Linked DNA regions of Danio rerio. The protein of the gene in region 1 interacts with the protein of each later gene in a biochemical or structural test. Links are inferred from orthologs where the notes say so. Each region holds a gene or a part of one and is shown in the gene's direction. Other genes may lie near its edges.

Region 1 (10,548 bases):
ACTCTTCTCCATCTAGTGACATCACTGACGATGCGCCTTTGCCCAATGGCCATGCAGTGGGAAGCTCCGCCTCTGCATCTCCATCCACTGGGGCTTTGAGAGCACCGCGTCCCCTTCGACCCCAGAGACCACCGCCTGCTTCACCACATAAACATACTTCCTCCACAGGTAGAGGATGTTTTCTTAGCAGTTTAAATAGGATCAGAAAAATGTAGATGTTTTCAACTAGGGTTACCTGCGTCACGTGTATACCCTAAGCTTATAGACATACCTTCCAAGGCGGTTGCTCAGCAGCCATATATTAATAAAATTATAGCGCTTCATACCAAACTTTTTTTTAATCGATATTGACAATAGTGTTCAGTCAGTAAATACTGATACCAAATTTATCTCCTAACCCTACGTTATATATTGTCATCGTTTGGCAAAATGAGTTTAGTCCAGGCTGAGTTGTCTGATTACTTTATTGTCGTATTTATAGCATCCTCTACTGGCTCGACTCCCACTCACGGCAGCAGCGCTCCCAGTCCAGAGATGTCTCCACGAGTGTGTGTGAATGGAGAAACCGAGAGTCAAGGGTCAAGCTCGGGCTCAGGCTCAAATCAGGCACCCAGAGCCAGTCCAACACCACCCAGAGCTCCAGCCATCACCAACGGCCCTCTTCCTCCAGGGTACATCAGACAAATACAGTCTAATACAAGCGCTTATTAAATTCAGTGTGTTTACTTCTTCATCAGTTTGGATGAGTTGCTTTCTAATTTAATTGTTATATTTAGTTGACAGATCTCCTGTTGCATGTCAGAACGAGAATAAAAAATTTACTGTGTAAGCAGGGATTTAGCTATTAGCTGATAGATTTAGTATTAGGTTACTTTAAAATAGTAATTGCATCAATAAAATTGTATTTCACTTGCTTTTATAATGACTCTCTGAAAAGTAACTTTAATTTAATAAGTACTTAAAAGTAACTTTATTAGTTGACTAAATACTATAAATCCACATAAATCTTAACACATAGAAATTAAACTCTAAATTCTTTTAACTTCAGTCAAACTGTATTTGATTTGTAATGTTAAGTTTAATTTGTTAATGTAATGGCACTTACATTCTAAGCAATATATTAATATACACTCACCGGCCACTTTATTAGGTACACCTGTCTAACTGTTCGTTAACGCAAATTTCTAATCAGCCAGCAATGCGCCTTAAAGGGCACATAGTTTACCCCTTTTTTATGATTTAATATTAGTATTATGGTTCTGAGTGTGCCACTTTAGATTCAGTTTAAAACACAATTCAGATTTGTTTATTATAATGTGTTCAAAAGTGTCATGTTGTGGGCGTGTACACAGCACGCTGTTTTAGGGGTGTGTTGCTTCACATGAAAATTAGTTTCGACTTCCCGCTTACCGTAACAAGGGGGCGGAGTCGAGAGCTCACCCGCTCAATAGACAGGCAGACTGAGAAGGAGCAGGAGTGAGAGGATCAGCATTCGGCCGTACATGTACGACTCGGATACAGACCAAAATCATCAGTACAAAATCATTTGTGTACTGAACTAAACTCTATACAGCCAAGTTTTACAGCCAACTGTGTTCTAGTTTCAAGTGCAAAGCTTTTACACCTAGACTAATAACCACGCACACTCAATAAACTTTGACTGAGACACCGGATGAGCCGCTCAAAGCCGTGACACGGCACAACAGACACTCTCTGTGGCACGGCAGAAACATGAAGTGTCCCGAATCGTCGCGCCACACATTTTAGAACTCTAAACACAGGTTTTCATCAGGGTGCACACACAACGGTGCTCCAAGTTGGCGGCTGTCTGCGTGCACCCCAACAGAAACTCACCCCCAGAATTCCAAAATGCACGGCGTTGCGTCAGCGTTGCAACATGCAGAGCGGAGCTTCTGGTGTGCGACCTGCAGGCAAGTTTGTTGTTTTATTTCCAATGGAGAGATGCGCACATGAGGCAACGCGCTTGCACTTTTCCAGCTGCACCTAAGATCACAGGGAGCTTCTGTGATTGTGAGAAATGCGAACAGCTGAAGTTTAAGGTAGACTCAATGAAAAGTACACGTTTGCAAACCTACCTAAAGTTACAACCAATAATTCCGATTAGAGCGATCAAGTGGTGAATGTTGGTCTTGTGTTGAGCCCAATGAGCCTTACATCTAAAAATAGAGCAAGGGTGTTCCTTTAGTGACGTCGCTTTGACTCACGCTGAAAATGGCGGACGTAAAACGACAAACTGAGGATTAAGGGGCGCGTGCCTATCAATCAATATTGGTGGGCGGGGGGACCGCACTCCTACGTCAAGTTGCGGTCGCTCTGAAAACCGCTCCAATTGGTCCACCGTTTTTATGTTGGTAAATTGAAAAAAAAAGCACTGGGTATGTTTATATCAGCCCAATATGACGGTCTATACATTATATATAAACACATGTCTGTCCAAACAGCTTGAAAAGTAGATTTTTTTAACCGTAGGTGCCCTTTAACACACCTCCTTTTTTAGACCAGAACACCTATGGGTGGAAATACATTTGCTATTTAAACAGCGAAATTGACTGCAAAACATCAAATTGACTCTTGCTCCGAGCTGAAACTAGCAAATAACAATTGTCTCGCGCCCTGCAACGATTGTATGACAGGGCCCTCTGTCTCTATTAGAGGTTTCAGTAGGGTTAAAAACACTATAGTATTTACTGTAAATTACTATAGTATATTTTCAGGTGGGTGTCTGACAGCTAAAAAAATTTATCTGGTCGCAGATATCGCAGCCTCAGTTACTTTTTACCTCACACTTTTTGTTAACATTTATTATTATTTATTTAGGATATGCATTTTCATATTCTGACTCCACTGCCTCTTTATTATGTTGTTAAAATGACTATAATTAAATATAATATATTATTAAGAATGAAATATCGTGTTCTTTGGAACAGTGTACTTGTATTATGCAAAATATATAGCGTACATATATTGTCATTCTGGCATTATATAATAAGTGGCATAAAATGGCCTTTAAATCAGTGTTTCTTAACTGGTGGGTCTCGGAAACATTTTCAGTGGGTGTGAGTGTGTGATAAAAAAAAACAACAAAAGTTTAAAATTTAACTTATTTTGCTTATATCAGACTTTTATTTTGAAATGCACGTGCGACAACCGTCCCATTTGACATGTGAAATTCCAGTGCAAGTCGGACCCCGAATATGTAAAGTGGGGATTTACATATATATAAAAATTTGGGTCGCGGCTTGATGACCATGTGAAAATGTGGGTCCCATGGCCAAACCAGTTGAAAACCGCTGCTTTAAATGACAATAATATTGTTTATCGCAATATATTGAACAACAAAAAATAGATGCCATGACAGGCCTACCCCTCTGAATTTATTTATACAGAACTGTTTAATTTATTGACAGTATTTAAAACAAGTAAATTATAAGTAACATTAACAATATAACTGCTTATATCATTTTTAAGTTGAAAAGTAATTGAATTGAAGAATCCATCACATATGTTGGCTGTATTGTATTTTCTTCTTTGTGTTTTCTCATAGCTGGGAGCAGAGAGCGGATCAGAACGGACGCGTTTACTATGTTGATCACATCGAGAAAAGAACCACATGGGAAAGACCTGAACCTCTGCCACCAGGGTAACCAGTGATCCTCAGAGGTTGCTTTTCAGTTTAACAGATTCATCAGAGTTGTATTTTGCATACTAAACATTACATATTATGTGCATATTAAGACACTAATATACATACTGAAGAGTTGCTTTTAAGCCAGGTCCAAGCTCTCAAATAATTACGTTTTAAAGAGCATCTGAGCAATGAGTAAATAAAGACAGCAAAAGGATGTGCGATAATAACAAATAATGAAATCTTGCTATTATTTGCTGGATATTTCTGATCATATAATCATTTAATATGTTTAATATGATTGTTAAAAATTTATTTAGCTTTTAGCTTTATTTGTATAGCGCTTTACAATGTAGATTGTGTCAAAGCAGCTTCACATAAATGGTCATAGTAATTGGAACAGTGTAGTTCAGTTTTTAGTGTTTAAGTTCAGTTCAGTTTAGCTCAGTTCAGTGTAGTTTAATATCATTACTGAGAGTCCAAACACTGAAGAGCAAATTCATCGATGGGTAGCTCTACCGATCCCAAACCATGCTAGCTAGAGGCGACAGCGGAGAGGGAAAAAAACTTGACCGATTGGCGAGTGAAGAAAAAAAAAAACTTGAGAGAAACCAGCCTCCATTGGCACCACCATTTTGATTTCTCCGCTGGCCAAAAGTCTTGTGCAGAGCTGCAGTCTCAGCGGTGGAGGCTGGATGCTGGCCTCAGCGAAGACTCGTCTGTCCCTGGAGCATCACTGGAATCAGTTTCATGTTCTCCACTCCTCCATGACCAGCGCAGCAGCTGCTCAGGACACGGCCTGGTCCCGGATATGGAAACCTTGGGATCATCTCATCGCTGGTCTTGGATCCAATCAGTGACTCCACATAATCTGAGGACCTCGGGATGAGTATCCCCAGGTGGAAATGGAGAATAAAGAGAATAATTAGCATAGCTGCTGTTCATAGTGTACATGAACAAGATGCAGAAACTTGTGTGGAAACCCGCTAAGTGATGTATTGAGTGTATGCTTTACTAAACAGATAGGTCTTTAATCTAGTTTTGGACTGGGAGAGTGTCTCTTAGCCTCGGAGTGTAGGAGCCATAAAGGAGAAGGCTCGACCTTCTTTACTCGACTTTGCTATTCTAGGTACTACCAGAAGCCCTGAGTTTTGAGATCTTAAAGAGCGGGTTGGATTGTAGCGAGACAGAAGGTTGGTTAGATAAACAGAAGCTCGATTATTTCAAGCTTTATAGGTAAGAACGAATATTTTAAAATCAATACAAAACTGAACAGGCAGCCAGTGTAAGGAGGATAACATTGGGGTGATATGATCATATTTTCTAGACCTGGTAAGAACTCTGGCAGCTGCATTTTGTACTAATTGAAGTTTGGTAATAGATGATGCTGGACAGCCAGCAAACAGAGCATTACAGTAATCCAGCCTAGAAGTCATAAAGGCATGGAATAGCTTTTCTGCATCTGAGATGGATAGCATACTTCGTAATTTAGCAATATTTCTCAGATTAAATTATTTGTTCTAAAACCGATTTATTTAGGAACTAAACAGTAGAGTGTTGATTAAGACAAACAAAAGCCTTTGTGCAGAGCTATTTTTGGTAATGAAACTTAAAAGCGACATTGTATTTGCGCTGATATTCTGGAAAACTGCACTCTTGCTTGTCGAATTATTGATCTGCATATCTTGCAAATATTGTAAATAAAGTAAGTAAAGTAAGTATACTTAAAGTGGTAAGTATATTGTAAATATTGTAAGTAAAGTAAGTATTTGGTGTTTAATTTGTAATTGTACTTAGTGTGTAATTATGTATTTATTTATTTAGACAGAAAGTTGGGCAACGCTGCTTGTATAAATGTCGTTTAAAAATTCACACATTGTTAAAGCAACAATTACCATATTCATTTAGCAGGCGGTAAATATCACACACTCCTAAAACAGCATTTAAGCTTACTTTAAGTCTTTATTTTGTTACTTTTATTGATTTTCATGTATTTTGTAGACATTCATCATCACAATGTTATTTAGAGAATGCTGTGTGTTTATGCTGTAGTTGGGAGCGACGTTTAGACCCAATGGGCCGTGTGTATTATGTGGATCATATAAACAGAACCACCACATGGCAGAGACCCACGCTAGAGTCGGTGCGCAACTATGAGGAATGGCAGAACCAGCGCAGTCAACTTCAGGGAGCCATGCAGCGCTTCAACCAGAGGTTCATCTATGGCGTGAGTTCATGTGGAGTAGACATTACAGCTGTGGCGAGAAAAAAAAACTGTTCAAGAAATCAGTGCTGAGGTTTTCAAAATGCATTGCTGTTCTCTCTTGAATTAATTCTGAACTTAGTTTTTACCAACAAATGGCGCTGTATGCTTTACAAACAGCCAAACTCTGCTTGCATCCAATTGCTTACAAATACCACTTGAAACTAAAACAATTATTAATAAAGTTAGGAAACGTTTAAGCAAATTACAAGAGTGTTCATAGTGAGTTGTTTTTATATTAATCACATGGCACAGAAGCCAATTTTCATTACTCAGGCAAAGTACAAGCACTTTTCATTGTGAGCAATTGAGTTCATGGTTAAAGACCAGCATAGAGCTTTATCTGCTATTTAAAATTAGCCTAGAGTGGCATCTGCTATTAAAAACTAGCATAGAGTATCGTCTGCTGTTAAAGAACAAGTCTAGAGCTCTGTTTGCGGTTTAAAACTAGCCTAGAGTGTCATCTGCTGTTAAATAACTGTCTTAAGCGCCGTCTGCTGTTAAAAAACTAGCCTAGAGCTCTGTTTGTAGTTTAAAACTAGCCTAGAGCGCCAATTGCTGTTTAAAACTAGCCTAGAGCACTGCCTGCTGTTAAAAAGTAGCCTAGAGCGCCATCTGCTGCTAAAGACCAGCCTAGAGCACCATCTGCTGTTAAAGACTAGCCTAGAACACCATCTGCTGTTAAAGACCAGCCTAGAGCACCATCTGCTGCTAAAGACCAGCCTAGAGCACCATCTGCTGCTAAAGACTAGCCTAGAGCACCATCTGCTGTTAAAGACTAGCCTAGAGCACCATCTGCTGTTAAAGACCAGCCTAGAGCACCATCTGCTGTTAAAGACTAGCCTAGAGCACTATCTGCTGTTAAAGACTAGCCTAGAGCACCATCTGCTGTTAAAGACCAGCCTAGAGCACCATCTGCTGCTAAAGACCAGCCTAGAACACCATCTGCTGCTAAAGACCAGCCTAGAGCGCCATCTGCTGCTAAAGACCAGCCTAGAACACCATCTGCTGCTAAAGACTAGCCTAGAGCCTGTTTGCTGTTTAAAACTAGCCTAGAGCGCCATCTGCTATTAAAAACTGGCATAGAGCACCATCTACTGTTAAAAACCATCCTAAAGCACTGTCTGCTGTTAAAGAGTAGCCTAGAGCGCCATTTGCTGTTTAAAACTAGCCTAGAGCACAGTTTGCTGTTTAAAACTAGCTTAGAGCGCCATCTGCTGTTAAAAAAACTAGCATAGAGCACCATCTGCTGTAAAGAAACCAGCCTTGAGCACTATCTGCTGTTAAAAACCATCCTAAAGCACTGTCTGCTGTTAAAGAGTAGCCTAGATTGCTGTTTAAAACTAGCCTAAAGCACCGTTTGCTGTTTAAAACTAGCCTAGAGCGCCATCTGCTGTTTAAGAATAGCCTAGAGCACCATCCCTACTGAAAAAAACAGCTTAAACCAGAATAGGCTGGTTGGCTGGTTTTAGCTGGTCGACCAGGCTGGTTTTAGAGGGGTTTTGGCCATTTCCAGCCTGGTTTCCAGCCATTTCCAGCCTGGTCTTAGCTGGTCGGGCTGGGAGATGACCAGCCAAAACCAGCTATGTCCAGCTTAAACCAGGCTGGTCAAGCTGGTTTTAACTGAACTTAGCTGGTCATTTTCCAGCCCGACCAGCTAAGACCAGGCTGGAAATGGCTGGAAACCTGCCTGGAAGTGGCCAAAACCCCTCTAAAACCAGCCTGGTCGACAAGCTAAAACCAGCCAACCAGCCTAGGCTGGTTTAAGCTGGATTTTTCTGCAGGGATCGGCTGTTAAAAACTAGCCTAGAGCATCATCAGCTGTCAAAAACTAAGCCTAGAGTGCCATCTGCTGTTAAAAACTAGCCAAGAGCGTCATCGGCTGTCAAACACCAGCCTAGAGCACCATCTGCTGTTAAATACTAGCCTAGAGCGCCAACAGCTGTTAAAAACTAGCCAAAAGCGTCATCGGCTGTCAAAAACCAGCCTAGAGCACCATCTGCTGTTAAAAACCAGCCTAGAGCACCATCTGCTGTTAAAAACCAGCCTAGAGCACCATCTGCTGTTAAAATATAGTCTAGAGCGCCAACTGCTGTTAAAAGCTAGCCTAGAGCGCCATCTGCTGTTAACCACTAAGCTAAACTTGATTCGAGAGAGAATAGCAGTAAATTTTTTTAAATCTCTGAATGAATTTCTGAAATATTTTTGACACAGTTGTAACAGGACATGCAGTCAGATGTTGAGTTTTTTCCTTAGATGATTTTTAATAAAAAGAATCACCTCTGTGACCTTAGCTGAGGGTATTTCATCTGCTCTTGTTCTTTCCTTCTGCTCATGTCTTCAGCTGCAGGAACAGCTCGCGCCGACAGCTAATAAAGAGTTTGACCCTCTGGGACCGCTGCCGTCAGGATGGGGTGAGTCTGTTTTGTGCTGCAGAAAGAGGAAATTTCATTTCAACCTTAAAATAGAGCAGCTCATACTGGCTTTTTTTTTCTCTGTGTGTGTTTATTTTGGGACGTTATCTATTTGCACATTCTTTATACACTGAAACATAATGTGTGATTCAATCATTTGTGATTATTTGGATGCCGTGTTATTTTAATCAGGATTAGTCACTCAAAAACAATTAAGTGTGTGTGTGTGTGTGTGTGTGTGTGTGTGTGTGTGTGTGTGTGTGTGTGTGTGTGTGTGTGTGTGTGTGTGTGTGTGTGTGTGTGTGTGTGTGTGTGTGTGTGTGTGTGTGTGTGTGTTTGTTTGTTTCGCTCACAGAGAAACGTACCGACAGTAATAGGAGGATGTATTTTGTTCACCATCCTACAAGATCCACACAATGGGAAGACCCTCGCACACAAGGGTGGGATCATTATGAGCTGCACGCAATATATTTATACAGTACTATTTAATATTTATATACTGTTGCAATTCTATAAATATTTACAATGTTTTTTTATTTTTAGTTCAATTTTTAGCCGTTTTGTTGCATGCTTTTGTCATTTTTTTTGTTAATAGTTGAAATAGTATTGTTTTTTTATTGTTTTATTGCTATTAAAGTTTTTTATTAATATTCTGTGCTTGCTTATAAATTTGTAAGCTTATGTTCATTTCAATGTACTATTATTTTAATTTTCATTCATATTAATATTATATTAAGCTTTTTTTATATTTTCAGTATTTAATTGATTGAAATTGTGAGATATTTAGTATTTTTGCTGCATTTTTTTAGATATTAATTATATTTAATACAGACAATGTATTATGTTTTATTGCAATTTAAATTATTTTATTTTTTATGTTTAAATTTCATTTAGTTGCCATGGCAGCATTTGTAAGTTTTATATTGAATTAATCAAGTTTTTTAAAATATTTTTTATTCCTTATCTTTTTATATTATTAGTATTATTATTATTATTATTATTATTAATATCATTTTTATTATTATTATTATTATTATTATCATAATTTTTATTATTATTATTTTTTATTATACATTTTTTGCAACTAAATTACCTAATTTCTGTTTTATAATTATTATTATTATTATTATTATTATTATTATTATTATTATTATTAACCAAATTTCCTCCTTTCTGTATATTATTATTATTGTTATTTATTTGTTATTTATTTTATATTTTTTTACAAGCAGGCAATAAGCATTATATTTGTTGTAATTAATTGTTTTAATTTGTCAGGTTGCTAAATGAGAAGCCTTTGCCGGAAGGTTGGGAAATGAGGTTTACAGTGGATGGGATTCCCTATTTTGTGGATCACAACAGAAGAACTACAACATACATAGACCCCCGTACAGGAAAATCCTCGCTGTGAGTTCTTATATTATTATAAGAAAAACTTTTTTATTTTTAAAACCTTCAGCATGTTGATTTTACACAGTGACGCTCCTGTTTCAGTGTACAAATTAAGTTCAATGTTGTTTTGTTTTGTTTTTAATCAGTGCTGATGCATTGCAGTGAGGTTGTGTGTGGTGTTTTACCATCTGTCTGTTTGTGTCTTTGTGGACCTGCAGTGAGAACGGCCCTCAGATCACATACGTACGAGATTTTAAAGCCAAAGTGCACTATTTCCGCTTCTGGTGTCAGGTAAGACCTCATGGAGGAGTTATACTAATTTAAAATGATTTTTTATAAAGCTGTTTTAATATCTCCTGATGTCTTCAAATCTCTGATGTTTCATTTAAGAAGTCGATGCTTAAAACTTTAATTTAAAATCTTGAATTAAGTCATTTTATTGTAAATTATTGGGGGACAGTGCAGTCTGCTTCCAAAAGAAGTTGTGAGTTTTTGCAAGTTATTTATCATATAAAAATGATAATTAACATTTAATAATGACTAATATACATACACTACCGGTCAAAGGTTGGGGTCAGTAGGGTTTTAAAATGTTTTAAAATAAGCTTCTCCTGCTCACCAAAGCTGCATTTATTTAATCAAAAATACAGTACAAATTGTAAAATTGTGAAATGTTATTGCACTATAAAATAACTTTTCAAAAGTAGTTTTTCATTTCATTTAATAATTTATTCTAGGGATTTTAATGATGAATTTTCAGCTTCATTACTCCAGTCTTCAGAGTCACACGATCCTTCATAAATCACTCTAATATTAATTATCATTGTTGTTAT
Region 2 (10,040 bases), on another chromosome or scaffold:
CGTAAATGTATTTTTACAGTATACAGCAGAAGAGACATAAGTGTCGTCTTGACAGAACTCTGATTTATACCTGAATGTAGGTGAAAGGCTCTGCACTGCTGCTGAATGGCGAAACATTGGTTAGCACCTGGCTCCATGCCCAGCCAGTGATGATTCAGACTTATTATCATATTGAGGAGACAGTAGTGGCTTTCTTTTAGTGCTAAACAGGTGTTCAAATGTGGTCGCGCGAATATCTTCACGCACCAGAGATGTGAAGCTGCATTGTGTTCTGACCTGCTACAAACAATCGCTTTTTTCCTATATTATTAAAACTAAGGTTGAATGACAGCCATTGTGGGTTAGGTGAAAAACAACATACATAAAAGGTTATTTATAGTGGAAATGGGGATTCAGATGTTCAACACACTAAGAAATAAGTGTTTTTTTCTGATTATTAGAACTTTTTTTGTAGTCAGACAGTCTAATCATTAGATTGTTCATATTATTGTGGCATGAATTGTATTGAGAATGCCATTATGTGCATTGTCTGCAAATGTTTACAATGTACATGACTGATTTTTTTCATGTTTTAATCAATTGATTTTGTTTATAAACTCTGAAAATTGTAAATTGCAAGTTATGTTTTGAAGGGATATCTTTTGGTTTGGCTGTATAGAGGGTTGGGGGTTGTGCAGGGGAAAATGTGTTTTTTCCTGTATGCTTATACTTTAATTATTATATTTTTTATAAAGTTAATCAGGCACAAAAAGAAAGCAAGTGTTTTGTTTTGGTTTTTAAAGAACAATTTTCTTATATTATTTTTTTAGCATAACTTTTTATGCGATTTGTGATTTTTATTTGCAATTTATTATAGTGTGCTTGTATTCAGTCTAGTTTTCATGCATGTAAAGCACTTTTTTAAGATGCTACTTTTAAAAATATATTCATTTTAAACCTGTTTAATCACATTATTTATCTGTTTTTAATCACGTTAATGCTTTACATTTTTTCAGTTCTTATAATTATTGTATTTTATGGTTAATTTTTGTTTATCTAAAGCACTTTTAATTATTATCATGTAAAAATATGCTACATAAATTAACTTGCCTTATTTTAAAGGTGCTATATAAAACTATATTTTATTAATATATTATTAATAAAATTATTATTAATAATATATTATTACTATTATTTTTAACATTACTATCACTATTATTGCTTTTATTATGATCGTTGTTGCTATTATTATTATCAACATTATCATCACTAATATTGTTGTCATTATTATCTTTGTTGACATTATTGTTTATATTATTATTAGCATATTATTACTATTATTTTAATATTATTATCACTTTTATTGTTGTTATTCTTTTGTTGTTGCTAATATTATTATTATCATTTTCACTATTATTATTATTAATATATGATAACTGTTATTTTAATACTATTATTGCTATTATTGTTGTTGTTATTATTGTTGCTGTTATTATTATTAATATTATTTGTCTGTATTATTTGTCATTATTATTATTATTATTATTATTATTATTAATAGCACTATTATTAATGATATTATTTGTCGCTATTATTATTATTATTATTATTAATAGCACTATTATTATTAATATTATTTGTCATTATTAATATTATTAATAATAGCACTTTTATTTGTAATATTATTTGTCATTATTATTATTATTATTAATAGCAGTATTATTATTAATATTATTTATCATCATTATTATTATTATTATTATTATTATTAGCACTATTATTATTAATATTATTTGACACTATTATTATTATTAGCACTATTATTATTAATATTATTTTCAAAATACTTTTTGTTGTTAATATTAATATTATTAATATTATTTTCATTATTGTCAATAGTAGTAGTAATACCACTATATTATTATGGTCACTATTCTTATTATATCACTATAACTGTTATATTACTATATTATATATTTATATTATTAATATTTTTACCATTAATATTGTCACTATTATCATCCTCATCATCATCACTTTTATTATCAATAGTATCATTATAATTATTATCAAAATGATTCCAGCATCACTGAAAATCCCCCTTTATTTTTAAGAGTGCATGCATCAAGTTTGAGAGACCGGCACAACTACACTAACATGCAGTCTGCATTAATATGTCAGATGAAGAACAGATAAAGAACAAATGAAGAACGTGCTCTCTGAATCTCACACTCTTGCGCCAGAGTGTTGTGTACGTGCTGCTATCTATCAGCCTTCTCCCCTCCTCCAGCGCTCCATGTGCGGGGGCGTCGCCGCTGGAATCAGGCCCACATGGGAGAGGTTTCCCGGTCCTACACTAAGGAGGAACTACACTGCGGTTTGCCCATATATGGGACTCATATCAGTTGCCAAATCCTGAGTCAGATCATTCCAGATCAATGCAGAGTTATGTTTACAGGTTATACTTTAGAGTACAAATCTCTAGTGTAAAACATCAGCAGTTTCTTTTTTTATGTTTCTACATATTTAGCTTTTGAATTGCATTATGGGATCTTTCTTTCAACAACTTTTAGCCATAACAAGTGGCTTTATTAACATTTCTAATAGTTTAAAGTGATATATTGTCTGGGTTGGTGTTGTATATTGTGTTACAAAAACCTCGTAATAAACTGCCAGTACATTTTCTTTGATTTATTTCTCTCAATATATTATTTCTTATTCATTATATTATTTCAAACTACACTGTAAAACCCCAAAAGTTAAGGTAACTCAAACCATTTAAGGTAACCTATTGCAACAAACTTGAGTTCAAAAACTAATCCTAATGAGTACTGTGAACTTACTCCATTTGAGTAAACGAAGCAATTTGATCACAGTAAAACCCAATAAATGAAGAGAACTCAAACCAACTGAGTACTGCAAAACTCAATGAGTTAAGGCAACTCAAACCGTTTGAAGAAACTGATTGCTACAAACCATTTGAGTTAAAAAACAAATCAATATGAGCACTTTACTCCATTTAAGTTGAATTAATGAGGTATTTAATTAACTCATTACCTTCAACCCTGAGTTCAAAACTATTTTCAAATGAGTTCTCTGTTAAAATAGTTGGGTTAAAAATACCCCAACATATAAATCAACTATAGGTTATTATAGCACCTTCCCAACTATGGGCTATTTTAACCCAAAGCATTGGGTTATTTTAATTAAATGTTATTTTTTCCATTCTGCTATTACTATTGAAGTACTACTTTTATTTTCTAACTATGGCTGTGAAAATTAATGAATCTCTCCGCTGGGTCCCAAAGGCAAGAATGGCAGGTGAAACTGATATAAAAAACATGACACAGAGAGTAATTTGATAAAAAATAACAATATTATTATGTTACAGCTTAAACTTCACAACGCAAAAACAACATTACTTGCGCATATTAATACAGCTCTTCTGTGTCAGTTAAATCAGTTGACTGTGGAAATTCAAAATTTTAACCCAACTAGTTGAGTTATTATTAAATAATCTAATAAAGGTTCAAATATATCTTAACAAAACATCAAATATTTACCCAACTGATTGAGTTATTATTAAATAATCTAATAAAGGTTAAAAAATATCCCAACAAAACATCAAATATTTACCCAACTGATTGAGTTATTATTAAATAATCTAATAAAGGTTAAAAAATATCTCAACAAAACATCAAATATTTACCAAACTGGTTGAGTTATTATTAAATAATCTAATAAAGGTTAAAAAATATCTCAACAAAACATCAAATATTTACCAAACTGGTTGAGTTATTATTAAATAATCTAATAAAGGTTAAAAAATATCTCAACAAAACATCAAATATTTACCAAACTGGTTGAGTTATTATTAAATAATCTAATAAAGGTTAAAAAATATCTCAACAAAACATCAAATATTTACCAAACTGGTTGAGTTATTATATAATAACCTAATAAAGGTTAAACGTAACCCAACAAAACATCAAATATTTACCCAACTGGTTGAGTTATTATTAAATAACCAAATAAAGGGTAAAAATAACCCAACAAAGCACCAAATATGTTTAACTCAACCATTGGGTTTAAGAAATAACTAAACGTTAAGAACGTGTAGAGTTAACTTTCAGTGAATTTTGAGTTAACTCCACTCATTTCATTTGATAAAGTTGACAAAAATGTCAATAAAAGTCACTTTGTTCAACTGCAGAGTTTAATTTTCAACATTAAAAGTCGACAGAGCAGATATCAACATCCCATAATGCAATTCACACCTATAAATAAACAGAAAACACACATGTGAATCACTAAATACAGTAACTGTTCATTAACACATTTTTATTTACAGTGAATTCTATGAGAAGGATCTATTATTATTACTAGTCATGTTTTATGTGTTATATGACTCAGTACTTAAAAAGCAGTCCAATTCAAATAGCTGATAAGCCCTTGTATGAATCTGTATTAGATATTCTCTTAATTACTTTTATTTTTATATTACTCACTATAGCCTTTCCTAGCATGTTTAACAATAAAGCACATTAACGGGATAGTTCACCCACAAATTATATGTCTGTCATCATTTACTCACCTTTTACTTGCTTCAAAACTTTTATGTTGAACAATGAAGAAGATATTTTGAAGAAAGCTGAAAAAATCTAACGGTTAAGAAAAACAAACACAATGGAAGTCAATGGGTTTCCAGCATTCCTCAAAATATCTTCTTCAGTGTTCAACATATAAAGAAAGGTTTGAATCCAGTCAGTAAATGATGACAGAATTGTAACTCTTGGGTGAACTAACCCTTTAATAGAGCTTCTCTTGATCATTGACGAGATGATGTGGTAGCTCAGACACATTTAACTTGGGCTGAAATCCCCCAATCTCAATCCTGCAATCCTGTATTTACTTAAATGGCCAGTTTAGATGCTCCACCTAAATTAAAGGAATATATTTAGAGCTTGACATTTAAAATAAATTCCAATTTCGTTTATATTAAAGAGCTCCTCGTATATTCTGCTTCAGATCTACGGAGATCACAGTATTGTGTTGGAACCTTTTGTTTCCATTTCGACAAGAATGTTTATTATTATTATTCACACGACATCCTCTAACGTAGTGTTTTTCTCAAGAGACCACAGTAGTGTTTCTGTTTTCATGGCCATGGGAAACTTTTCTTAAAAGTGCCGAGCTATTGCGGCCAGTTTTTGCTTCTTGTCTGTGGAAACAAAAATAGGAGCGCAGCGCTCGGTCTCCCTTTGCTCTCTCGCCTCCAGCGTTGTTTTCAATCTCAGCGCTTACTGGCAACAACGTCATCAACCCATCTGACAGCTCGAGGAGCGGAACGAACTCTCGTCCAATCAGCGGCCGCGATTATCTCAGCCACGCCCTCAGCATTTGGAGTATATAAGAATGAAGGCGCACTTATCATGATACTGAATGCGCGACGGGCCAGAAGAGCTGTTTGTAAATAACCGTCTGGGAAGACACTTTTTGGACGTCAGCTGTCGAGAGAAAACACCTGTCGAATTGGTACAGTAAACTATTTTGGAAGTTTCTTCTTTTTTTGCTCTCTTTTGCCTGATGTAATATAACGGAGAGAACTTGCGGACTTTAGTCAGCTTCAGTACGTCCCAACGTAATCTCTGTTCACATGTCAACAAAAATGGAGCAACCGTTTTATGACGACTCGTTTCTTTCTGCTTATGGTCATCCAGACGCTGCCCTGCACGACTACAAGCTCCTAAAGCAGAACATGAGCGTGAGCTTCGCCGAACCCTACCGGAACCTCAAGACCCTCCGCTCCGAAAGCGACTTCTACACGGCGGCGACCGGAGACGTGGGCTCGCTGAAACTCGCCTCTCCGGAGCTAGAGAGACTCATCATCCAGAACGGTAACGGCGTCATCACATCACCCACGCCGGGGCAGTATTTGTACGGTCGGAGCATCACAGAGGAGCAAGAGGGCTTCGCGGACGGATTCGTCAAAGCGCTGGACGAGCTCCACAAAATGAACCAAATGCCCCCGCCGAACGTGTCCATCGGAGCCCCCGGGGTGTCGAGTTGTTCGGTGGCGTCGTCAGTCTTCGGCGCCTCCTTACCGCCCGAGACTCCGGTGTACACCACCCTGAACAGCTGCAATCCTAACACTAACCTCACACCTGCAGCCAACTACCCGACAGCCACCATCAGCTACCTGCCTCACCATCACCACCACCAGCAGTACCACCACCATCACCACCAGCCCACGCCGCATCCTCATCACTTCCAGCACTCGCTCCATCCGCAGCGGCTCGTTACTCTGAAAGAGGAGCCACAGACCGTCCCCGACCTGCAGAGCAGCGATGGTTCTCCTCCCATGTCGCCCATCGACATGGAGGACCAGGAGCGCATCAAAGCGGAGCGCAAGAGGCTCCGGAACCGACTGGCGGCCACCAAGTGCCGGCGACGGAAGCTGGAGCGCATCTCCCGGCTGGAGGACAAAGTGAAAGTGCTCAAGTCGGATAACGCCGGACTGTCCAGCACTGCGTCCCTGCTGAGGGAGCAGGTAGCTCAGCTTAAGCAGAAGGTCATGACCCATGTGAGCAGCGGGTGCCAGCTGATGCTGACGCCGAAGATCAAGTCGTTTTAGGGGGGAGAGGGATGCTACGGACTCTGGGAAACACTGGAAGAGCAGATCCTGTTTGTGATGATGTTATTGTCGCAGCACTGAGTACGAGCGTTGTATATTTCTTAAGTGTTTTCTTGTAGAAAACTTTAATGTTATTGTTGTTTTCCAAAGATAAGGTACTTTCAGCCGAACGGACAATGGACTAAACTTTTGAAGTGAACAGTTTTGGTTTTGTTGTTAAGTGCTGCCCTTTGAAAACATTCCAGTAAGTTATTGATATTGTGAGTCAGGTTGAGCCAGACCTTTAACTGTTTTTCTGTTTGTTTGTTTTTGTTTATTTTTTATATTTAAGTAAAAATGTTGAAAATGATTCTACTGTTTGGGTTGTTTATTTCAAGCGTAGAGCAGAAACAAAGTTTATTCTGTAGCCTACGGCTTTAAAGTTACGTCGAAGACGTGCCCACGTTGGCTTTTTTTTTCCTGCTGACGCAAGGCCCATATATGGGCAGTTTTGGTCTATGTACGTCACTAAGGGTAGATTTCGGGAACCCCCGCCCACGCTACCGGTCAGGAAGTCCGCGCGCTTTCAACTCTGACGTTCGATGAATGGAGCGCGTGTGAACGAGAGAAAATTTAGCAACGCGGGATTTTCCCCGCGCGCACAAACCTTCCCAAAACAGTTTCAGCGAAAAGAAAACTAGAGATAAAAATATGAGCACGGGCATTTTCCAGGTACTTTGCAGAAAACGGAGCCGTCGCAAGCACAAAAATAGACAAACAGATCTCAGTAAATATAAGAGCAAGGCTTATAAACGAGAAGTGCCCACAGTGACTCCTTTATCAGCTATTTCCCGAAAACACACAGGCGGTAGATTAGCCGAACTGGCCATTAAAAACGCCAACCCTTTATTAAAATGTTAAATTCATTTGAATAATTCCTAAAATACTTAGATTTTAGGTGACAAAAAGAGGGTTATTTGTCCATTATGCTAATTACACCTTTCAGATGTTGAATGAATGGTTGTTTCGAGCCTCCTCACAGACTATAAACACACATCTACACTGAATTGTGCCGTAGAAAGTTCACTTAGCTACTTCAAATGTTTTCGCAGCGATGCAGTGTTAGAAATCTCTTCTTAAAAGAAGGCATCTTGCCTATTATATTTTCTTTTACAAAATCATCTGGAAAAGTACCCTATTCCACAATAAAGATCAATCTAAAAGTTTCTAGATTATAAAATAGCCTTTCATTTTAAAGAGCCAAGTCAACATTTTAAACCCAGGAATTTTTACTGGCAACATATGAAGTTAATAATTAACATTTTTAGCATATTTTTTAGTTTTGTAGTGGTCATTTTTGTCACCATAGTCTGAAACCAAGCTAATACACGTTATAAACATTTAGATTTTTAAATAAGGTAAAGCAAAGGGACAAGACAGACAAGAAAATGAGTGAATGAATAAGGTAAAGCTTGAGATGACAGGATAATAACACGGCACACTTTATATTATAATATCTGTTATATTTAAAAAAAAAAAAAAAAAAGTATAACATTTTATTAAGGCAGAATTTACCTTTTTCATGGACACAGAAATGAGCCCTGGCCTTTAAATAATAAGAAAACACGGGGATGTTGTAAACAAAATTACAGATTTAAGCAATAAAGACAATTCTAGGAGATTAACTAAATTACTATTTATGTCTGAGCTGGTTTAAAATTCAGTGTAAAATAACCACAGAATTTACGAATCACTTGTTTAAGCAAGTACACATTCACTCAGTCCTGAACACGAGATTTGCCAAATATTTATTAAAATTGTTTTGGGTTTATGTAGAAAAGTGATTCCTGCTTCATTACAGCTGAATCAATGAGGACTCCAGAGCTGTAACTCTGTCCTAACTATAATGAAACACTGCCACCTGCAGGGCAGATTTGTTAATATTCTGTTAATTTTGACTTCCACCAAAAATATTGTAATGTCATTATCAGAGAAAATACGTTTGACTTCGCCTGCTACCTTTAATCTTAATAACTTTATATTCTTAAACAAGCATTTTAATCAGGGTGTGAATCATTTAGGCCTATGTTCGATAGCGTATTACACGCTTCAGTGAATCAAATGTCTGTTTTATATATTTATATAATAATATATGTTTTATATATTCATTTTAATTACGTATATTTTAATAATAAAACATAAGTCTTCAGTGTTTTAAAGGATATTTAGCGTATTCTAACTTATAGTGACTCGATTAGTCGTTTCAGGGGTTACTTTAGGTCAATCTATATAACTCAATTGACTTTAGTTTTAAGTTATATACAGACACAAACATATATTCTACTTAAAACAAGTGTCTTTTAAACACTTACGATGTCTGTAGCTGCTGAAGACCTGCCAGTTTCAGACTATCGTCGAGTGAATGTTTTTTCCTCACAGAGTGTTTGGCGCGCTTGCCTTCACAATGGTATGAACCGTTATAGGGGTGGTAAAATGTATATTTATACTATTAATTGAATTATAATATTATATAAGATACTATGGAGGGAGAAAGGGAGAAACCTGCAAAAACAATAAAATAAAAAATAAATAGCAAATTAACTAAATAATAAATCCACAAATTCCTGCATAAATAAAACAATAAATCAATAAATATGCAAATTTATCCCAAAGTCCTGCCTAAATAAAACACTAGCCAAATAAATAAGTAAATAAATTAATAAATTCCTGCATAAACAAAGCAATAAATTAATAAATATCCAAAAAATAACTTAATGTATATAAAACACAAATTCCTGCATAAATAATTGTTTAAATAGTACAGGCAGATTAAAAATAAATTACACAGATGTTGGGGGAATAAGAAAATGCTTAACTGAACGTGGATTTCTCCCCCTTTCAAACTACTATTAATTATGCACAAATTTGTAGATTTTATACATTTAATTGTGTATTTATTTAATGTTTTATTTATGCAAGAATAAATATTTGTTTGCGTAGGTATTTATTTATTGTTTTATTTATGCAGGAATGTGTATGTATTTATTTATTCATTTATTTGCATATTTCTTTATTGTTTTGCAGGTTTTGTTCTCCATACCCACACTATTATTCATTTCAATATTTATTTATGCAACATTTTTAAAAAAAATTTTAAAATACACTCATTTGGATATTTATTTAAGGTTTTATTTATGCAAGAATTTATTGATTTATTTACTCATTTAATTTTTGCCTATTTATTAAATTTGTTTTCGCAGGTTTAGTTTCATGAATTATCATGCAATTTCATGATATGCATTTATCTCTCAAATTCTGTTCCATCTATTATAATTCTAATATTAAAACATGAAGAAAACACTACTGTGTCCTTCTGCATTTAAAATTCGGTTTACCATGCCATTACCATACCTTCTAAACTAATTAAATGTTTAATTTGAGGTCAACC
Region 3 (10,648 bases), on another chromosome or scaffold:
TATAAAATGTTTTACATCAAACTGCACACCATAGTTTGAACATATAAAAAGCAACTGTTGCAATCCTGTATCTGTAATGGGACATAATTACTAAAAAAAAAAAAAAAAAATCTAACTAAATCATCAGTGAACAGCAGATGGTTTATATGACTTACACATCCTGTTTTACAATCATTTACATTTAAAGAACGATCATCCATAATAGTCAGAAAGAATATATTCAATATAAAGTGTAGGTGTTAATGCAATTAAAAAGCATGTTAAGCTGTTTCTTAAAAAATGTTTAGAGCTTACCAACCGTATTATCCAGTAAAGTGAACTCTTGGACATTTTTTTCTTTCTTTTTAACAAATTATACACGCATTCTCACTCTTGTTCATATTTTGTGCATTGATCTCTTTGCGAGAAAGGGGTCACGTTGCTTGTTTTTTTTAGGCGCTGGCTAATATCATTATGCCGGATGTACACCCTGTTATAACAGTGTTGCTAATAGCTTGATGCCATTTAAAAGCTACAATTTAGTCAAACTGACATGACAAATGTACACAGAGGCAGCACTTTAAAACTGATAAATATGCCAATAAATATGCTGGAAAACACTGGATAGAGTTATAATGCTGTTTGTTTATGTTCCAGTGTTAGGTAAATAGACATTATGATCATTGCTAAAGGGGAAACATTTATCATAATTCAATTTATAATCAATTCCTACCTTTTATTACAGGTTTGCAGTGTATTTCTTCCTCAAACTGTAAAATCTAATACACTGTAAAACCCAACAGTCAACTTTATCAAATGAAATGAGTGTCGTTTACAAAAAATGTACTGAAAGCTAATTCTACTCATTTGAAAATAGTTTTGAACTCAGTGTTGACGGTAATGAGTTAATTAAATACCTCATTACTTAAATGGACTAAGTTCACAGTACTCATATACAGTAGAGTAGTTTTTAACTCAAATGGTTTGTAGCAATCGGTTTCCTCAAACAGTTTGTGTTATTTACTCATTTGAAACAAGCAAGTAACAACAAATGCACATTATTACACCAGTCCCGGACATAACACAATGTGTGGGAAAAATGAAGAAGAAGCAGCCGTAGTGAGAGCATGCAAAACCAATGGGTGACAGGACGGAAATTATTGCCTGAAAAGGTGTAACAGCTAACGCCAGTACATGAGGAAGGAGACCAGAGTTTTGTTTTAATGGAAGCCAATAGCAGAGAGGCATCACTTTACAGAATAAACAGCTTTTGTGAGGAAATTTGTTTTAAGTTACTGCAGGCACTTGTTAGTACCTTATAAATCCTAATTCACCTAACTAGGTTTGGTTGCTTTTTTTAAAAGTAAGGTTTACTAATTGGATTTACAGTAAGAGTTTAAATGTAGGCCAACATGAAATCTGGGCTTGCAGAAAATTTGCAAATTCACACAGATTTTTGAGCCCATCATTCAATCTCTTTATTTATATGTGAATGTTTATTAGTTTTTATTTTAATTTCAGTAGTAATGTTAGCTATATGCAAATGTTTTGATTTAGTTAGTACAATACAATTTGTAAAATACCTTTTTAAGTCTTTTGGATGTATTACAGGGCTGACTGTTTATATATATATATATATATATATATATATATATATATATATATATATATATATATATATATATATATATATATATATGTCACCCATTGGCTTTTCATGCGCTCACTATGTCTGCTTCTTCTTAATTTTTCCCACACATTGTGTTATGTCCAGGACTGGTGTAATTTGTTGTTACTTGCTTGTTTTAAATGAGTAAATAACACAAATCATTCAAGGAAACGGATTGCTACAAACCATTTAAGTTAAAATCTTATCTAATATATATACACTTTCAGTCAAAAGTTTAGGGTCAGTTTTTTTTTTTTTCATTTTTTTTTTAAGAAAATCATTTTGTTCATCAAGACGGCAATTATTATAAAATGTTAAATTGTTGAATACTTATTACTTTTTATTTATTAGCTGCTTACTTATGTAGTTTCAAATGAAGTTATAACTCCAGTCATTATTGTTTTTATAACTATTAATACTATTAATAATAACTACTACAAATATATACTATAATATTAATAATAACTACTTTTCAACAGTTATTTTATAGTGCCATAACGTTTCACAATCTTACAGTTCGTACTGTATTTTTGATGAAAAAGTACAGCCTTGATGAGCAGGAGAACCTCATTTTAAAACATTTTTAAAAATTTATATTTTTATTTGTTAGTTTTTCAGCTCCTATGCTCTCAAAATCTATCTGCATAAATCCACAGATCTTTTCCACGAAATTCCATGCAGAAATACCAAAAAAGGTCTGGTCCTGACATGCTATTAAAAAATTATAAAAAGCGTCTATGTTATAGTTGCTGTAAAAACATGACTGCGGATATACAGTAGATGCAGCTACTTGGCAGTGTGCACATTTCCTGGTAGCAAATTCAAGGCAAATGATGCCTTTTAATCATAATTGTCTTTCGGGGGAGGGGGATTTACACTACAAGACACCTACAGTTTATGAGAATGGAATGTAGACCGGAACTTGTTATCTTGAAGATGGTTGTGATCTTGCTGGTTGCACCCAGCAAGCTGTCTCGTTTCCATCCTAACCCACAAACTGGTGTTATTTTAGACCTATGATGACCCTATATTAACACAGGAAGAGCACTTTACTTTAAAATGTCTTACCCACTGACTGACTCTTTAAACTGAACTCATATACATGTGTTTTACTCACTCATATCAAATTATGAAGAAAGCTTTTATTTTTCATCAGACTTCAGGGTTCAGTTCAGGTCTGAGATCCTCAGCGGACTACCAACAATGCCACTGTTGTGATGTTTATCAGAGTATGACCACAGCAGGACAATGCCATATATTTGTTCAGCTTTTGACTCAATTTGGAATGAAGCAGACTTGACAATGAGACTGATTCATTTTTTGCATCATAACACCTCGACTATTTTCATAATGTAAATGTAAAATGACTTACGCTTCAGCTTATGTGCTCCAATGTCTCTTCTAATCCATCTTTTCTGTTGTCTGTCTTTCTTCTCTCACTTTCTGTCTTTTTTCTGTGTTCGTTGAGATGTCACAACAGAAATGCATTCCTGTGTGAGTACAGCACGCTGCAGGGTTATCAAGTTAGAATCAAGCCCCGCCCCCTTTCCTCTGGTCACATGCAGATGAACAGTTCCTCCTTGTTGCATTATACACCACAAACCCGTAGATTTTCATCTATGCACTCACATCATGCTTTCTGCTTTGCATCGATCTGTTACCCAGTTTTGCCAGGGTGTTTGGCATTATGTTTCAGGCTAATGTTCTGAACACCAGGACAAAGGTCTTGCAGACAGAGCTGCTGGAAAATCCACACCCGTGAGGGAACTTTCTCAAATGGAAACCTAATCTTGTGTTGTCTGATAAACTCTGTAAAGTTTATGGCTTTTTATGTAGTAGATTGATCATTCCAAGCTATAATCGGGTGTGCTGCAGTACTTCCCACTCTACAGTTTTCAATTTATTTATTTTTCTCATGGTTGCTTTTTAATTTAAATGAGAAACTTGGCGAAACTGTGGTGCTTCCATTATGATGCAAATGTTGCCATTCTTGTGAAATTCTCTGCCGAACCACTTCTCTAAAACAAACAGTCATTCATTGTAGCACACGTAAAATATATTTTACAGTATGTAAAATGGGCGACACGATGGCTTAGTGGTTAGCACTGTCACCTCACAGCAAACTTGCTGGTTTGAGTCCCGACTGGGTCAGTGGGCATTTCTGTGTGGAGTTTGCATGTTCTACCTGTGTTGGCATGGGTTTCCTCCAAGTGCTTCAGTTTCCCTCACAGTCCTAAGGCGTGTACGTGAATTGAAGAAGCTAAATTGGCCGTGGTGTATCTGTGTGAATGGATATTTCCCAGGACTAATTTGCAGCTTGAAGAGCATCCGCAAGTTGGCGGTTCATTCTGCTGATGGATAATGGGACTAAGCTGAAGGAAAATGAATGAATGAATGAATGAATAAATGAACGAACGAACGAATGAATGAATGAATGAATGAATGAATGAATGAATGAATGAATGAATGAATGAATGAATCTACATATACACAATATGTAAAATTTTTACCTAAAACCACTGACCTGTCATCATGTCTTTCGTGTATTTCAAATAATGATTAAATGTTTTGCATGTGTGTTGTTGCATGCACTATAAATTATTATTTGATGTGGGTTGCCATAATAACAAAGTTTATGGATTTTGATTAAATAAACAAGAAGTTAGACACATAATAAACTGAAATTAAATTAGAGTCACTATTCAGAACATAATATCATTTGCAAGCCATTTATATTTAGTTGAAAGTTGTTGTCATTGAAAGTACAGCGGTATTCAACCACAGTAAAGACTAAATAAGACAAAAAAAATCATGTTTAAGGTCTTTATTGTGCAGTTTCTCTGACAAGATGTACACTGCAGGTCAGATATTTGGGGATATTATGATTTGTCAGGGTTTTTGAAAGTCTTTGCTGTTCATTGATAATGTAATTGATGTAAAATGTAAGAAATTGTATTTATTTCTGTAATTCGAAACATTGTCACTCCAGTCTTCTTGAATTATTTTGGTCTTCAATCATTACTACTGGTTCTCATTTTATCAGTTCAGAACTAAATGTTTCTGCTAATTTTAGTGGATATTTTAACTTAAAAAAAAAACACACACACATACACACACACACACACACACACACACACAATTGAACTGAAGTATAATGTTTTGAAACCTAAATATATTTACTGTCACATGTAATTAATTTAATGTATCTGTGAAAATGATTTGAATTGTGCTCTTACTCTTGTACTCTTAATATACGACTGTTTCCATAAAAATAAATGAACATTGATAACAATCAGAAAAAAAATATATTCAGCAGCAAATCAGCCTATCAGATTGATCCCTGAAAGATAATGCAACACTGGAAACAAGTAATAACAGCAGACATTTCTGCATTGACTTTGAATTAGTCAATTGACTTTTGTTTGAAAGTCAAATTGAGAAGTTGTTTTAACTAAAAACTGCATTTCAAAGTTTTTATTTTTATTTTACTTTTGTCCTGATGAGCAAAAGAGACGTCTTTCGAAAAAAAATGTTTTCAAATAAAATGTTTTTATCACGCTAGTAAGAAATACACAACCAAGACGTTAAAGTGTCATGAACGGTTATGAGAGCTGTGTGTAAGTGGATGATTCTCATAAGGATCGCCTCTATCACACATTTTGACTTTTATTATTACGCTGTACTGTCTCCTAGTGGTTGAATGACACTGTACTGTCCTCAACAATCAATTTTCTCTAATAAAAATGGCACTTGCGAAAAGAAAAAGCAATAATAAATGTATGATTACAGATTTTCGCTATAACGAGACAATTGATTAGACTCACCTACAACGTCACTAAAGTGATAACATAATTAATCTCGCAGTCAATGCCATCGCCGTTTGTTAAAAAACAAGCATATTTGTTTCTGACATGCGCGAATCCTCCGCCCATAAGTACCCTGGAGCACACTCTCGCCGCGGCCTCGCGGAGAGCAGAGCGCATGCGCATACCGCATCAGAATGTTGAGCAAAACGGACTAGAACAGAGACGGGAAGACGCGCAAGCAAATTCAAACATATTTTTTCTCCTTGTCGAGGTGAACGTCTGTCGACCTAGAATATAACTTATAAAAACATGACGGAGCCCCAGTCAGCACTGTTACTCAGGAGACAGCTAGCAGGTAATATTTGAAGGCTGTTGGCGAAGGCAGGCTAACAAACCGGTGAACGTTTTAGCCAGCCAGTACACCCGAGACGGAGCATTTTAGCCGTTAGCCGCTAGTTTAGCCGCTAACAAGCGCTGTGTTTATCATACAGCATTAGTTAGCATGTTAGCAGCTAAAATAGCCGGCTAAAGGCAAGCCCCGTCGTCTTTTGTTATTTTAAAATGCTAGTTTTGTACTACTCTTGCTAAAATATCAACATGAGAGTTTTTCTAACATAATTAAAACAACAATACGCGCACGTTTGTTTAGTGTTATTCGGTTTATTCATGTCAACATAAGTGTCAGTCACTTTTTTCCGTATCACACCGGCGGGGCCGCTCTCGATCGGCTACCCCCGTGTTTTGACATCTGTGTCCGGACGCAGTTTCCGCAAGAGAACCAGTCATCTTATAAATGGAGGAAAAGTCTGTCATTGGTCCAATTTCTGCTCACTGTCTTATCGTTGTCCGTCAAACCAATAGTATTATCGCACGGTTTAAAGGTGAGATTTATAAGCCGTATATTGTGTGCCATTACCCCGCATCGGGTTGATCAAATCCCTTTGTTTTTCTAGGCTGGCTAGCAGGCTAAAGCTAACAAATTGATGGCTGCTGTTTGATCACCAGCTCACCGGTACAGCGAGAACTGGAGACCCATAGTCTCTGTCACCATAGACCTGTGCGGGAAATTGGCTCTTATTAGAGTCGTTATGAGTGTTTCCTATTGTTCTATGCCCAGCACACACACACTGAGCAATATGATCCGCGAGTGTCAGCTTTACTGAGCTCAACCAGAGGAGGATTTCTCCACTGGGCCCCATTTGCGCAGTGCAGCCAGTGAAGTGAGTTAGTTATAGGGGTCAAACTAGGCAGATTACCTGAGTTTGGGGGTCTGATGAGATCAATTAAAAAGCAAAACAACAGATCTGCTACATGACAGCTGTCTCTTTGCCACAGACAGCTCAAGCAACCCCATCCCCCCAAATTACTCATCTTACACACACATAAAAGCAACTCGCTTGTTTCTTTCCAAGGGTCGCAGGGTGAGCGGCACCCCGGGCCTGTCATGGCGTCAGGTTCTGCAGAGGCCCTGCGCTTGATTGACTGATTCAGGGGGTCAGGGGCTGTTTTGGTTGTCTCCTTTCAGAAGAACCAGCATGGTGAACTCATCAGCCTTGATCTAAACTCAGTGAACCCTTCGTGAGAACAAAAGCCTCACAACGTTCATTAATGTTGGCCCGTAAAAGATACGGGCCAGGAAAATGCGGGCACAACTTGTGTGATGTTAATGCCATGTGTAGAGAGGTTTTTTTTAGAAATCACTCAAAAATTACCTTTAATTTTTTACCCACCCCAAGCTATTAAACATGTTTTGAGACTTTAAGTTGAAAAAAAATTAAGGTTTTGGGTAAAAACATTGCAGCGTCTACTAGAGCCGTGTGATTAATCGAAATCTAATTGCAGTCACCATTTGAAATGTTGCGATTAGCTAATCACAAGAGGCTGTAATATGAAGATATATTTGTATATTTTTAATTCATTTATTTCCCGTCCAGAGCAAACGCGTGACTGCGTTTTTGTGACAGTCTTACTAGACAAATTAGTGAGCACAATTGAGTGATGAGTGTCTTGCTAAAAAGTCAATTGAAAGTATTGCCAGGGACACTCAATTTAGTAGCAAGCAACAGCATAGTACAACTGCAGAGTTGTTTCAGACATGTTAGTTTGCTGAGTGTTTTTTTTTTATTATTTATTATTATTGTTTGTATAGTACGCTACACTATCTCGCTAACTTAAGTTGAACTTGTTTACAGAAAGTTAAGGTCATTTGATTTACTGTTCTATCTTTGCATACTGTTTCATCTTTTTGTTTACTTTTTGTCCTGGGAGAGAGGTTGGCTTTTCTAGAGAAAAATTTGTGTTTAATTTCTAAATATTTAAAAATAAATTTGATTAAGTAAGTTAATATCTTTTCTGTTTCTTTTTTTTTTTTTAAATAACGCTCACTGCATTTTTCCTGAAAATTTAATACAACTACCAAATGGTTTAGTTGAACCCTGTTCACTAGCATTAGATGAAGAGTTGTTTCCTTTTCCCCAAAACCTTGGCTGAAGAAAGTCAGTCATACACTGGTTGAATGGACTGCAGGATAGTAAATAAATTATGTATTTTTTTGCCTTCAGATAATGTTCTGTTATTAAAAGCACTACTGTTATGTCACTTTATGCGCATGCTTTTGTAACTTGTGGGTTTTCTTTGCCTGTCAAGCTTTTTAACATACATTGACAGGAAATTCTCTGAAAGTGATTCCAATGATATTGTATATCTGTGGTGTTATTGTTAAATCTGCTGTGTGGACATCTCTCTTCTAATTGAATTTGAAGGGTTGGTAAACCTTTCTAGTAGTGGCTGTCATCCATTCTTGGTTTGAACAGCCCTTTATGCTATTTGTGTGATTGTTGCTTAGGGCTGGTCGATATGGCAAAACTGCAATCTTGATAATTATTTTGCATATTGAATGATAACGATGTATATTGCGATACCAGTTGTTAATGCTTCCAGATTTAAAAGAGTATTCCAGCAATGACTGAAGCCACAAAAATTAGAGGGTCTATTAAATGGCATAGCATATTTTCAGCCGATACTTTTTCAGTGGCAGAAAATTTTGGGACATCTCTAACATCAACACACTTTTAGATTCTCGTTGTTGCACATTTCTGTTGTGTGATTGGCTCTTAGATCAATATAGAGTAAAAAGTCCAAAGCTTATCATTGTTATTGACACAAACTTCATCGCAATTTGATATAATACAGTTTATTGGCCCAGCCCTAGTGTTGCTATAATAACACTTCAGCACTCTTATATTGGAAGTAGGTTTGTTGAAAATACAATTGAGTCATTTAATAACCATCAGATAGTGGTAAAAAGGTGGCTTTGACAGAAGAGACTCTTCATATGAATGCCAGACTGTCTTAGTGATTCATGTGCAAAAATGACACATCCATATGACTGGATAACCCAACTGTCATCTTGTTTATGACTACAAGGTGGTCATGCAGTCAACCTCCAGATATTCTGTTGTGCTCCTTCTTGCAAACACACAGAAGTTCAGAGTATCTGAACAAACAGACAGGCGTTCTGTGACTAAAGAGTCGCTCAGCTGATCTGATAACAGACAGGCAAATTGGTCATTTCTTGTCTGAAATGTTGCCCAGATGTAGGTCTAACTATCAGAACTCATGTGAAGGCATGTATGCACCTACTGCCCTGAAATGCCCCAATTTGCCCTTTGAGTAGTTCCATGCAATTGTCAACCAAAGTTTTCACCAAAATAGCCAAAAGTATGATCACATTCATAAACCTCATGTTTATTTTCCTCATTTAAAATATGTTTACAGATTGATATTTTCTGAGCCCATGACACTGTGGTTGGTTGTTTTGTAAAATATAAACCGATGTTTCAATATAATATTAACTCATACTTTCTCTGTGAATTTGTTTTACGTTTTTACTGCAAATGTCACATCTATAACACTTTTCTGTACAAAGTGGCTAATTTGTACCTTGATGTCTCTTCCTGACAGAACTGAATAAAAATCCTGTGGAAGGTTTCTCAGCCGGTTTGATAGATGATAATGACCTCTACAGATGGGAAGTACTAATAATTGGTCCTCCTGATACACTCTAGTAAGTCTTTTTGTTGTTTTATAAAATGTTATGTTGTGTGACACCTCACCAAAATTAAATTATTATCAATCAGCTAAAGAATTAGATGATGCAAAATGTAAATTGACATTATTTACTTGTGTAGAGCTACAGTATAGGTATTCTCACAATCTAAGATGGGTCAGGTCAAGTTTATTTCTTGATCTTATACAATCTACAATGCGCCAAAGCTTTATTACATGGTAATACACAGTGTATCAGGCAGGTAGCAGTGCAGTTGTAGTATTAAGTCATGATGCAATGGGAAATTAACTGAATAAGTTTATGTATTTGTTGTGATGCCATACTGAATCAATTTAAGCTGTTGCCTTTCATTTAAAGGTTGTTCAATCACAGTATTATAAGCCTTTTATATTTTTCTGTTTACAGTGAGGGTGGTGTCTTTAAAGCCCATCTTACATTTCCCAAAGACTATCCTCTCAGGCCTCCTAAAATGAAGTTCATTACAGAAATATGGCATCCAAATGGTAAGTTTGCCTCCTAGGGTCTTTTAAATATTTAATATATTTTAATTATTTATACTTTTTTACTATTTTGTCAGCCATACATTTAATATCGTTGAATAAATACACAATTTTTTGTGTTTTTTTTTTTTTAGTTGGTTGGAGGGATGGGTTGCAGATTTCCAAAAAAAATCAAATATGAATTGTTCTTATAAATCCTTTTGAATCTCTGGCTGATATGGAAACTGTTTCGAATTTACACTGACAGACTTCGTTATAAATTCATCCGCATGCAGGTTTTTGTTTGTTGATTCCATTTGCAGCATTGTGGATATTTTTGATCCACTTAGGAAATATCTAATAATCTGCCAAACCTAAATACTGACATGCTCTTTATTAGGCTAATAATGACATGAGTTTTTTTTTTTTTTTGTCATTTTGTACAACATTTTAAGTTCTATATGTTTCTGAAACATTTACATTTTATTATTTGCTAGCTATTATAGTCATGTAATAATCCTTCAGCCACAATACTTATCTTTATATAATATTACTATGTTAATTAAATGATCATCATCAGCAAACAAAAATGGTTAATGTGGTATATAATCCACATTAAAATCTCATGTCCTGTCTCTGTATTGTT

Evidence for each region.
Region 2: the proteins of itcha (region 1) and junba form a complex in vitro, tested with the Homo sapiens proteins (2 studies listed by BioGRID, with this or other methods). The link is inferred for Danio rerio from reciprocal best matches to the Homo sapiens genes ITCH and JUNB.
Region 3: the proteins of itcha (region 1) and ube2g1a form a complex in vitro, tested with the Homo sapiens proteins (2 studies listed by BioGRID). The link is inferred for Danio rerio from reciprocal best matches to the Homo sapiens genes ITCH and UBE2G1.

The regions. Positions count from the first base shown.
Region 1 is NC_133181.1:60,216,301-60,226,848, reverse strand, and holds part of itcha (itchy E3 ubiquitin protein ligase a), read left to right. Parts: coding exon 1-168; intron 169-481; coding exon 482-671; intron 672-3,565; coding exon 3,566-3,661; intron 3,662-5,698; coding exon 5,699-5,873; intron 5,874-8,253; coding exon 8,254-8,323; intron 8,324-8,678; coding exon 8,679-8,763; intron 8,764-9,601; coding exon 9,602-9,730; intron 9,731-9,933; coding exon 9,934-10,006; intron 10,007-10,548. UniProt on the Homo sapiens protein: Acts as an Acts as an E3 ubiquitin-protein ligase which accepts ubiquitin from an E2 ubiquitin-conjugating enzyme in the form of a thioester and then directly transfers the ubiquitin to targeted substrates.
Region 2 is NC_133176.1:55,052,973-55,063,012, reverse strand, and holds junba (junB proto-oncogene, AP-1 transcription factor subunit a), read left to right. Parts: upstream 1-5,410; 5' UTR 5,411-5,514; exon of another isoform or gene 5,515-5,635; coding exon of another isoform or gene 5,636-5,737; coding exon 5,738-6,613; 3' UTR 6,614-6,962; downstream 6,963-10,040. UniProt on the Homo sapiens protein: Transcription factor involved in regulating gene activity following the primary growth factor response. Binds to the DNA sequence 5'-TGA[GC]TCA-3'.
Region 3 is NC_133180.1:31,599,018-31,609,665, forward strand, and holds the start of ube2g1a (ubiquitin-conjugating enzyme E2 G1a), read left to right. Parts: upstream 1-5,645; 5' UTR 5,646-5,763; coding exon 5,764-5,809; exon of another isoform or gene 5,810-6,335; intron 6,336-6,407; exon of another isoform or gene 6,408-9,417; coding exon 9,418-9,520; intron 9,521-9,928; coding exon 9,929-10,026; intron 10,027-10,648. UniProt on the Homo sapiens protein: Accepts ubiquitin from the E1 complex and catalyzes its covalent attachment to other proteins. In vitro catalyzes 'Lys-48'-, as well as 'Lys-63'-linked polyubiquitination. May be involved in degradation of muscle-specific proteins.